Linked DNA regions of Arabidopsis thaliana. The protein of the gene in region 2 purifies or fractionates together with the protein of the main gene of each other region. This does not show direct contact. Each region holds a gene or a part of one and is shown on either strand. Other genes may lie near its edges. The genes, in order: ALDH12A1 and NLP1.

Region 1 (6,685 bases), on a different chromosome or scaffold from region 2:
TGAAACACGGTGGAGACGGTGGAGCTAAGGTGAAATACGGTTGGTGCTCTGTTTCGAAACATGAGCTTAAAACGATTTTTGAGTATGGGTTTAGCGAGCCGCTGAGGAATGATGGATCTTTTGGCCGTGGATTGTATCTCTCGCCGGATAATTCTCCTCTTGATTGGTAAGTTTCTCTAAATCTCTAAAAGTTTCAATTTTTCGAAATTCATTGGTCTCAAAATCTCATTTTTGGTGTTTGTTTGTTTGATTAGTTTGAAGGATTCAGCTTCAGAATCAGAAGATGGGATGAGATTCTTGTTGCTTTGTAGAGTTCTACTTGGAAAATCAGAGATTGTTCCTCAAGGCTCGACTAGATCATGTCCAAGTTCACCAGAGTTTGATTCTGGTGTGGATGATTTAGTTTCTACGAAGAAGTATATTGTGTGGAGTACACACATGAACACTCATGTTTTGCCTGAGTTTCTTGTTTGCATCAAAGCTCCATTTAACCTAACTCGTAAGCAAAATCAAAATCTCTAATCTTGAGTTTTTCTTGTTCTTGTTTATGGTTTTTTGACATAGTTATAACTGTTTTTGCAGGAAGTCCAAAGAGATTGAGATCACCATGGATGGCATTTCCTGTATTGATCAAAGCATTGTCCAAGTTTCTACCTCCTTCTCAAATACTTGTCATTCAGAAACATTACAAAGATCAACAAGTAAGTGTTTTTTTTTGTTTGTTTCCTCTTCAATTATCTTTTGAGGTGATTTCATTTCACATTCTAATTGTTGCTTTCCTTTGGATTTAACAGAATAGGAGAATTACACGGAGCGAACTAATCCAACGAGTCAGAAGCATAACCGGAGACAAGTTACTAGTTCACATCATCAAAGCTTGTGGACATAAAGTACAACACTAAATCTCCATTGCAGATCACTTTGGCGTTTTTGTTTCAAGGACACAATCACCATGGTTGTATTTGTCTGTTTACCAACTCCAAAATGATCAGGACTGGTAGAGTCCCTTTCTATTGTTTTCCCATGATAGTGATGAAAAAAAACTGTTCATTAGATTATTTAAGATCGATTAGATTAGGGTCTTAGCAACATTATTAATGAAGAGAACATTAACAAGTTATCATCTTGTTTTTCTTTTCACTCTTCTTCTTTCAAAAACATTTGTATTATTGTCTGGCTTTGAGCTGAAGAAAATTTCTGGTGGACTGAGTTTTACAATAGTTCTCTCTCTGTCTTAATCCCTCTACCCCTTGACTAAGTCAACGTCGTTGAAAACTTCATGTTTCAAGCTCTTATTCCCTCACACGGAAACTACTCGTAGAGATAAAACTACAAAACTCATATTTATTTGATGCAACAGCACACTAAGATCTTAGTTTATTAATTATTAGTGGACACACCACTTCTAAGTAGATGGAGGAAGTTCCCAACCTTGTGGAACCGGACCATAATCGTAGATGACTTCTCTGTGGCATGACCAAACCAGCTTTATAGCCTCTGGTGTCCCTATCCCGGCCCCTCTCGGGTCCCCCGCAGGTCCAAACCTGTGTTTATATGATAGTTTAACTTTTCCTCAAAGAAATAGAAATAGATACTTTAATTTGGGAGTGTGATTTTTCCTCTCACCAGTGATTCTGAGGAGCTCCAGTTGTTCTTCCTCTTAGTCCAGCATATGTAGTCCCATTCACTGAGTTCCCTATTACTTCCTGCACAGATTTGTTACATCAATATCGAAGGGATAGAGAATAAGAGATTGATTGATGATAATTGTGAAAAGATTTGCCTGAAGAAAGATGGGATCGTTTGAAACAACAGCTGCAGTTAGATGAGCGTGCATCCTCTCCAATGCTTCCAACACTAGAGGAAGTTGATCCTTTTTGTATTCCGTTACAATCTGGATATCATATACAGAAACAACACTATACGTTTCAGTAAAAGAAACACACAAGATCATTTAGACAAAGCTAATAAAGTCGATATCAAGGTAACCTGAAATGGTCCAAAGATTTCTTTGGTGACGAGTTCGTAGGTTTTATTATCCTTCAAGATTTCTTCAATGGGAACATAAACTGCAGTTGGCTCCAAAGCTCCGTAGATTGAAGGAATCGAATGATTCTTCAATTCCTTGCCACCAAAGAGTAGCTTTGAGCCAGGAATCTGAAGCAGATTCTCCATGTGCTCCAACATTGCCTCAGTTGTAAACTTGAAACAATAATGAAAAAATAAGTTTTAATGATACAATCTCATCAGATGATTAACAACAGATGGAGAAACAATGAAACTCACTGTAAGGACAGGACCAATGGTTAAGTCTTCCAGTTTGCGTCTTTCCGCTAGTTCTTTTAATTTGGAAACAAGAGGGGTTTTTGACCAGTTCTGCTCAGAGAGAAAATACATTGAAAACAACAAAGACAGAAGAAAATGGAAGTAAACAAAAGATTCAAAGGTAGTTTCACCATAACAATTAGGATCAAACCAACCTCATGAACAAAAAGCATAGACTGTGCAGAACACTTCTGTCCACTGCACGCGTATGCATCTTGATCACATTGCCATGCAACATAATCAACCTGACATTAGAGACCGAAACAAGGGTTACAATCACATTTAAGGAGACTTGTGGAAATACAAATACGGAAGGGTATAATAAGAAACCTCCTGAACATCTGGTCCTAAGACTTTCCAATCAAATCCAGCATCTTCCAATCTGATTCGACCCTTAAGGTCAAGTGCCAACTTTTCAGCTACTCTAGAACTACCCGTGAAGAGGGTCATCCGTGGGTTCGCCTGAAAGAAGTTACAAATCGACAAGACACTGAATTAGCTCAACTAAAAACCCTGTGGAGACAATAGACTTGTGAATTCCTGACCAAATACCTCTAACAATATCTTGTTCATTGTCTTCCCATCAGAATTTATAAAGTCCACATCTTCAGCGGGTAAACCACAATAGTGGAGCAATCGCATCATTTGCTCCATAACAATGCTTACCTAATCAAATAACATTATATTATCAAACAGATGGAACCAATACAATTACGAGAACTATAGTAATGTGAAGAGTAATTTATACCTTGCTGTCCACTTTAAGAAGAGGTTTGTTACCCATGTATAATGCCCCCATCAACTGAAGTAGTGGAATCTCAAGTGGAAAATTAAATGGTGTAACAATCGTTACCTGCATTACAAATCTATGATTTCAAAACAAAGCACAGACAGAGTTCTCACCAATTACAACCATCTAGGAAGAATGCCTTACAGGACCATAAGGCCAACGGTAACCATGACTTTGCTGCCCAAGATGATTCCCAGGGATTGCAAAAGACCGTGCCAGGAACCGCACCTGATAAAAGAAAGTGAAGCGAAATCATAAACATACATTTAAAGATGTAATTTCGGAAATTCAGCCACAAACATGAAATGTCTATATAGGCATTTTTGAGAACATGCCTTCAAGAATTACTAAGTTGTTGAAACTAATAGCCAGGAACCAAAATAAAAAATGGTGAAGAGAGTAATGTACCTGATCACCACAAAAGTTTTCTAAAAACTTCCGTGTGACAAAGACTTCTCCAGCAGCTTGCTGGTAACTCTTTGGAGCAACCCTTTGAATTAACCTCGCGAAGAAATCAGCAACCTAATAGTGTATACACGCATACAACAGTAGCTCAGTATGCATGTTATTCAGAAAACAAAACCTTTTGAATTCAAGACTCGAGATTCAACAAAAAAAGTATGTGTTACCTTAGGTAAGGCGAGCATATGAGCTGCCTTTGTCGAGATATCTCCATATAAAAGGTATCTGTAGAAAACAAGACCATTACTATCCTTCATATATGAAACAAAATGGGAAATGACAAAACAAGAAGAAATAGCACCAAACCTCAACCAAATCATACCTCTCTGGAGATTTGAAAGGGTTATGGAGACCATGTTTCGGGCACTGGGATAAGCTGTCCACAAATGGCTACAACATAGAACAGAGGAAAACTGAAAGTTAGAATTGACACGGATAAACAACATTGTGATACGATCAACGGTTTTTGATAGGCTCGTACCTGAGTTCCTGATTCATCCACTTCCGCAACTTTGATAAACGGTTCTCCATTTAGAGGATCTAGAAGCGTGTTATGATTTGACGATCCTATCCACTTTCCCTGCACTATAGACATAACAATGAAAGTAGAACTCAGAGACTTCACAACAGCATTTAACCAACAAGCTATTACTCATTTCCATAGCGTCAACGCACAATCAGTGAGAAGTAAAGACATACCAAAGCTCTGTACTTCAGCAGGATGAGCACCAGAGAGCTCCTCGGCATCTACGGTAGCAAAAGGTATGGAATGATTCAATCTGCAAGATCCATAAACACAAAAATTAAGGCAAAGGAACACTCTTTTAAATGGATCACATTCTCAGACATCAAAGAGTAATCAGAACACAAATACATAAAGTACCATTTCAAACTCTAATCAGCTAACACTCTCTTCATTACATAGAGACTGAGCAGATGCGGCTACTCGATGATCTAAATCTCAAATTTTTAATACACCAACTTGCTAAAGTTTTCTCTTTTATTTATTTATATATATATACAAATGGAAAGTCTATTACTTTAGGCAAAAACATGCAACCCCAAAAGACGAAGAGCAATGTTTAACACAAAACAAGAAATAATTTGGTGAGATCAGGACGTTTGAAAAACCTGGAGAGAGTCAAAGAAGCAAGCGAGGTGGATGATTTGTCACAGAGAGACTTAGCTCTCAGTGCTCGGCTCGCAAAAACTCTATACATTGCGTAAGATCCACAAGTAACGGAGAAAGATGAGAATCAGACGATTGGATGAGAGGATTCAAGAAGATTGGTGATAAAATAGCGAATTCTCGAGTGATTTGTGTTTAGCAGCTTATTAAAGAATTAAATGTTTTTCCCCTGATTGACGAGAAATACATTAATGATTTAAAGATATTTACAGATAATTTCTTATTTCTAGGTTATTATCTTTTTTACCCCATAGTTTCTAATGGCTTCTTATAAACCCTGATGTGATGAGTCATGACTCATGAGGAAGAAGAAGTTGAGCAAAAAATAAAAATAATAGTAAATCTCTTTTAAAGACCTCCTCTAATCAATTCGACTAATGGAATAGTAATTAGTTAAATATCAAGGGAAACTAATAATGAAAATTGGTACAAAAAAAAAAAGAGATTTATGATTATTATCTACTGTTTTACTCTTTTGAAATTTAAATTGGAAAATCAATAGTATTAGTGATATTTGACATCAAATCCAGGGATCAACCAAGGAATTTTGTAAGATGAACACAGATGTCAATTACAAAATAGATAAATAAATCTTGATAGATAAATAAGTATTAAAATGGTGATAGCTTGCTGAGTCACGTCCGCTTGGGCCATTGGCCCATTGAGTAATAGACGTATACGTTTGTCTTTTACACGAACCGACAAATAAAAAATAATAATATTAAAATTGTATTAAAATTATAAAAGTCTTTTTTCGTCTTTGGAAGAAAATATATATATGTTTTTTTCTTCTGGCAAGTTTTGTATTTTATTTTCTTAAAATAGTATATGATTTTTTCATTTTAAACTTTCTTTGTGTTTTCTTCTTCTCTTCCTTTATTTGGTGAAGAAAAAGGAAAGAAAAATCTCAACTTTGATTCTCTCTCCCTCTATATATACTTTATTTATTCTCCACTCATAATAGTTTCATCATCTCTTTCGGTCTATGAAAAACATTGGAAAAACCCTAATTCCTAGTGTTGCGAATCACTTTTCATTGCAGCTTTGAACTTCAGGTAATTTTAGGTTAATCGAGCTTTTTCATTTGATGCATGACATCGGAAGATCAAATCTTTCATAGGTGATTGTATAATCTAATCCTAAGGCTCGTTGAAATCGATAATTGTACTCTTGATCTACTTAAATTCAGAATTTAAATTCAGAATTTATACACAGCTACTATCGTTGAGTCGAACTTAATTTGCTAGTTGAAATAATCCAAGCTTCAAGCTTTCTTGTCTAGAAGTTTGGTGATTCTTGTTCTCTGACCTTTTGGGCTATATGGTTGTTGAAGCTTAAGTCTTTGTTAAACTATGATGATAGGTTATAGAAATGTAGATCTTGGTCTCTGCTTCTACTTTTTTTGGGTCTGAAAAAAAATTGAAACTTTAATCAGAAATTTAAAGCCTAGTTCATGCAATTGCTCTTACTTTGTGACTTATGAAATGAGTTTGTAAGAGTAAAGTTGAAATCTTTCATATTTGGATGCAGTCTGTGAATTTCCAACAGCAATGACAACTCCAGCAAAAAAGAGACTGATGTGGGATTTCAAGAGACTGCAGAAAGATCCTCCTGTGGGAATAAGTGGAGCTCCACAAGATAACAATATCATGCATTGGAATGCTCTCATCTTTGGGTATAACTTTTTGTTTTGTTTTCTCTTCAAAGCATGGCTTTGTAAACTTATTTCTTCATTGTCTTTGTTTGCAGACCTGAGGACACTCCATGGGATGGAGGTAATTATCTTTCAGTACTTATTGGCTATTGCTGCAGACCGAGATATTGTCATGAGTTAAACTTATAGCTAAAATAATCAGTCTGTTGTGTTCATCAGGTACTTTCAAGTTGACTCTTCACTTCACCGAGGATTATCCGAACAA
Region 2 (4,736 bases):
CTCACATTGATCTTACACAGATAATGTCAGTTTTATCTTAGTGCTAATACCAGAATGCATCAATATATCAAGCCTCTGATCCGCATACTGGGTCTGTTTTGGTTTTACTGCAGATGGCAGATCCTTTAACAGCATTAATGTATGCAGTGCAAGTGATGAACTTGCTGAGGAACCTCACAGACAAAACACTCAGAGAAAGGAAAATTGCGACTTCAAATGTAGATCCTTGTGATAACAGAAGTGAAGCTGAAGATGGTAATGTCGAAGAATATAATCAAGAAGTAGAAATATATGTTCTTGAAGAAGTAGAGGAAGAAGAAGGAGAAGATGTTGATGATCTGGACAACGAAGAATCCGAGAGAATAACACTGCTTGCTGATGAACACAAACCATCAAGCGCAGTGAATGCTAATGATCGAAAGAAACAAGAAACATGAAGACAGCCGTTGGAGTTGGAAACGTCGTTAGCAGTATTATGTGTTTCGATTGATTTCTCTTTTTCGTTATCGAAGGTGCATGTAACTTAGGCTAATTGTTCCAAATACAACTTATGCATTAGTGTTTATATAAACGTATCGAATTTTTTTCCATATGACAACCTAGAAAGATGAAAGTGCCAGAACAAATTTTGAGATGTATTAAACTTTTTCTGGTCTTTTATTTTTGGGCTTACTTACCCTTTAAGGTTAAGCCAGTAATAATTGTTGTTAATGGATTTCCCCAGTGTGATCTTAAACAAAAGATCAAAGCTTCCAACAGCAAAAGATTTAGAGATTACCATCCATAGTAAGAAGCACCTTGTACAAATCTGGACGACGGTCACGGAACACTCCCCAGCTTTGCCTTTTCGACTTGATCATATCAAGATCAAACTGTGCTACAAGAACAGCTTCCGATTTATCATCTGCCTCGGCCACAATTTCACCTGTTGGTCCTGTCATATTATAACAACAATATTGTGACAAACTGTTGGGAAAATGCTTATTGATAAATTTGCATCTAAACTTCAAAATTACTGATCTCATCTGAATAAGTTATAAACTGATACCGGCAATGAAGGAAGTTCCGTAGAAAGTGATCTGACTAGGTCCATGCTCAGTTTCAATTATTTCCTTCCCTATGCGATTTGAGGCTACTAGAGGTACCTGAAACCCAAAGTATTATTGCCTCACTCATTAGCAAACCATTTGAAGCACATTTTGGCAAGTTCTAATCAGTAGAAATAACGGAACAAACTAGATACATGTAATCTATTTCTAATGTTACTGTAAAATAGCTTTCAGTTATAAGTTAGGCTCATAGCAATCCGATAAGACACTAATGACTTTGAAAACTGAGATGTTTAAGACATAATAATAGCTTACCACGTTAGCTCCAGCATGCCCTTGCATAACTCTCCTCCAATGATCACGCGAATCCAATCCCTGGTCTTGAGGTTCAGAACCAATAGCAGTGGGATAAAACAGTATTTCAGCACCCTGTAGAACCATAGCTCGAGCTGCCTCAGGAAACCACTGATCCCAACATATAGCTAAACAATACATTTCATTAGTACATCAATTAAGATGAAGTAACAACGAAAAGGACATTAGAAACAGAGTTCTGCATAGAGCATCTTACCCACTCCAATTTTAGCAAACTTCGTCTGGAAAACCTATTCAAGCCAAAGGGAGAAGAAGAGATCAATCATGTGAACCAAATAACATAACAGTTCAATTTGAGATTCTTCTTTTAAAAACTACCTTAAAGCCAGTATCTCCAGGATTGAAATAAAACTTCTCTTGATAACCTTAAGATAAAAAGAGGTCTCAGCAAAAAGGTAACAAGAAACTCAAGCTATATTTCCAACTCCAAACTTGACTCACCAGGTCCATCAGGAATATGAGACTTCCTATAAATTCCCAAGTCAGTTCCATCAGCATCAATTATAGCAATCGAATTGTAATGTGCAGTATTTGCCTCCTCAAAGAAACTAACAGGTATCACTACACCCAATTCCTTTGCCAGCTTCTGCATCCTGTGTTAAATTAAACCATCCAACCATTAAAACACTAGATAGTACATAGATACATCGAGATTCCACTTTACTGCGTTAGAAATCGGATAAGCAATGTCACACCTTGCAATGGTAGGATGGTTCTTGTAAGGCTTGGCTCGCTTAAAGAAGTCTTCTCTTTGTGCTTGACAGAAGTAATATCCTTCAAAAAGTTCCTGTTATACAGAAACTAAACTACATAAGACTAGCTAAGACGATTGGATACTAGATCAATCAAAAACACTTATAAATCTGAGAAACAATTTCGAAGAGCAACAATGACCTGAATAAGAATGATATTAGCTCCTTTAGCGTGAGCTTCTCTGACTAATCTGCGTAAAATGTAAACAATTCCATTCTCAGATACTGAAATCGGATTCGAACGGGGGAATCTATATCAGAGCTTGAAATTGAATAGTTCGATTCCAAAGGTCCGTGATCACAATAAATTGCTCGAGAAGCTTATACGCATATGGAAATTTGAAGGAGGAGGAAGATGGGAGAGATTGATAATTAGAGAGAGGGAGGGAGGAAGAGAGAGAGACGAACCGCTCAGCGGCGGCGACATTGGTGGAGATATCGTCGGAGCAAGCGAATTGGAGAGATGAAACAACCACTTCTCGTCTTCTTCCTTCCGTTTCCATTGTTTCTCTCTCTTTCTCTGTGTTTTTTCTCACAGTGAAGGAATTTAAGGACGCTCAAAATCGAATATAAGGTAGCTGACTCATTTGACTGTGACTAGCAGAGAGAACAAAATAGAACAGAACATTTTTTCTTTTCCAAAATCGAATAAAGGCGTTCACAAACGCAAACGCAAACGCAAACGCAGACGTAAAACCCCAAATTGAGTTGGAACATTTTAGATGTTTTATGAATGAGGGATCCTAATCCTTGTATGGTCTTATTTTAGATTCTTCTACACTTATCTACTATATGCACAAGACATAAACAAGTTGATACAAAATAAGTGTTGGTGGGTAAAAGTTACATTGGTGGATTTAAAATAACTAAACTTGGAACATAATCACTTAGAACATAATAACTGAAGAGAAACCAGAGACATAATAACTGAAGAGAAACCAGGGACAATATTTCAATTGGTTTGTACAATAATCGAATTTTCTGCAACCATGCCTTCCAATAATGTACATCATGTTCTCCGTGAAATCCTCGCATCTCCCACAATACATAATCACTTTCTTTTCTTCATCAATAAAATCTGTATTCGACTAAACAATCTCTTACCTAGAAAACTAGAAGGTATAACAATATTCAGTGATCCAACAAGATACTTAATTGAGGAGTCTTGTACTTGATCTTCAAACTCTTTGATGTCTACATTGACACCATATTGACGTTATCCCCCGAGTAAACATAGAGTATAATATATCTTTTAAGTTCGAGCTCTCTAGAAGAACAAAATATAGTGAATTTCCTCAGGTCTTTAATCTTCGCGATGATGGTCTTATACTTGAGTTGTTGCATCACTCCATGTTTATACATATGTAGTACCATCACTACTTCCACCTTTAAATCATTGGCCTCTTTGATGTTGGAAAAAAAAACTTCCAAAAAAAAAAGACGTTCACAAAAGCTAACGTGCGCTGGAGACGAATTTTACTGGAAAAGCTAACGTGCGCCTAATTTCCACCGTGCTCATCCAATTTCACCAAATCTCCGAAAACCTTAAAACCAGAATCAAAATTTTCACATTTGGAAGGATCTGATCTGAAACAATGGCAGTGAGAGCAACGGTGTCGCGTTTTCCGATCGATTCAGACGCTCAAGAGGCGTCAGGACTTCCTTGGGGACTGACAGTAACACCATTCGCGGCCAAAGACGAGAACGGAATCGGACCAGCGTGCGGATCTAACGGTCATCTTCTTCCTCGTTGCGAAAACTGCTACGCTTACTTCAATACCTATTGTGAGCTTGATCAATGGGCTTGGAATTGCTCGCTTTGTGGAACTCTCAATGGACTTCCTTCTGATGCTATTGCTCGTTACTCTAATCCTCACTCTATACCTGAAATGACTTCCTCCTTCATTGATCTTGAGATGCCTCGTATGTCTTACGTCATCTCTATACTGATTCTTTTGTTTTTTTTGTTGGAATTGGTTCTAATTTCTGATTAATTGTTTGTTTTTCTAGTGGATGGATCGGAGGAAGAGATGACGCAAGCACGACCTGTGTATGTTGCGGCGATTGATATCTCTTGTAAGGCTTATTTCTTCTATATTGTGTTCGAAGCTCATTGTGATCAGTGTAGATTGTACTTGAATTGTGTGTTAGTGAACTTTGGATTGTGAATTTTGAAAGCAATGTGTGTGTCATTTTGCTATGGATTATGATTCTAGCTTGGGTTTGTATGCTTTTTTGTTGTTCTTATCGATTTTTGGCTTGCTTATGTTGTGATTTTGTCATGACTTTGGAGATAGGGTGTGGTAGCAGTAAATTTGTTTCGAATTTTGTTCAAATGTTGCACTTTTTGCTCATGATTATTTTTGTTATCTGCAGCTTCTGAGGAATTTTTGGAGCTTACAAAAAGTGCATTGCTAGCCGCTCTGGAAGGTCGTTTCATACCAAATTTAAAGCAAGGATTTACTTTTTCTTCTGTGTGACTGTGTCCTGAGGAAAACAATTCTCTCGTTTTTTCGTATATGCAGCTCTAAGTCCAGGGGCTCTTTTTGGTCTTGTTACG

The links.
Region 1: the proteins of NLP1 (region 2) and ALDH12A1 fractionate together in Arabidopsis thaliana (co-fractionation; one large-scale study listed by BioGRID). This does not show direct contact.

The regions. Positions count from the first base shown.
Region 1 is NC_003076.8:25,098,363-25,105,047, forward strand, and holds ALDH12A1 (aldehyde dehydrogenase 12A1), read right to left. Parts: upstream 4,951-6,685; 5' UTR 4,798-4,950; coding exon 4,709-4,797; intron 4,357-4,708; coding exon 4,277-4,356; intron 4,163-4,276; coding exon 4,059-4,162; intron 3,968-4,058; coding exon 3,900-3,967; intron 3,803-3,899; coding exon 3,745-3,802; intron 3,638-3,744; coding exon 3,524-3,637; intron 3,344-3,523; coding exon 3,260-3,343; intron 3,179-3,259; coding exon 3,074-3,178; intron 2,992-3,073; coding exon 2,878-2,991; intron 2,788-2,877; coding exon 2,656-2,787; intron 2,571-2,655; coding exon 2,481-2,570; intron 2,377-2,480; coding exon 2,287-2,376; intron 2,203-2,286; coding exon 1,990-2,202; intron 1,895-1,989; coding exon 1,784-1,894; intron 1,707-1,783; coding exon 1,627-1,706; intron 1,546-1,626; exon of another isoform or gene 1,545-1,545; coding exon 1,406-1,544; 3' UTR 903-1,405; coding exon of another isoform or gene 795-902; 3' UTR 702-794; downstream 1-701. Other genes in the region: SRO5 (uncharacterized protein), read left to right, coding at 1-166, 255-499, 583-701, 795-902; UBC3 (ubiquitin-conjugating enzyme 3), read left to right, coding at 6,317-6,441, 6,516-6,541, 6,640-6,685. UniProt on the Arabidopsis thaliana protein: Plays a role in the inhibition of programmed cell death by converting the toxic proline catabolism intermediate (s)-1-pyrroline-5-carboxylate (P5C) to glutamate.
Region 2 is NC_003071.7:11,736,899-11,741,634, forward strand, and holds NLP1 (nitrilase-like protein 1), read right to left. Parts: upstream 2,701-4,736; 5' UTR 2,680-2,700; coding exon 2,504-2,679; exon of another isoform or gene 2,368-2,503; coding exon 2,319-2,367; intron 2,212-2,318; coding exon 2,120-2,211; intron 2,018-2,119; coding exon 1,866-2,017; intron 1,790-1,865; coding exon 1,743-1,789; intron 1,655-1,742; coding exon 1,621-1,654; intron 1,532-1,620; coding exon 1,365-1,531; intron 1,146-1,364; coding exon 1,049-1,145; intron 935-1,048; coding exon 768-934; 3' UTR 534-767; downstream 1-533. Other genes in the region: AT2G27460 (sec23/sec24 transport family protein), read left to right, coding at 3,772-4,099, 4,187-4,252, 4,553-4,606, 4,702-4,736. UniProt on the Arabidopsis thaliana protein: Involved in polyamine biosynthesis. Catalyzes the hydrolysis of N-carbamoylputrescine to produce putrescine and ammonia.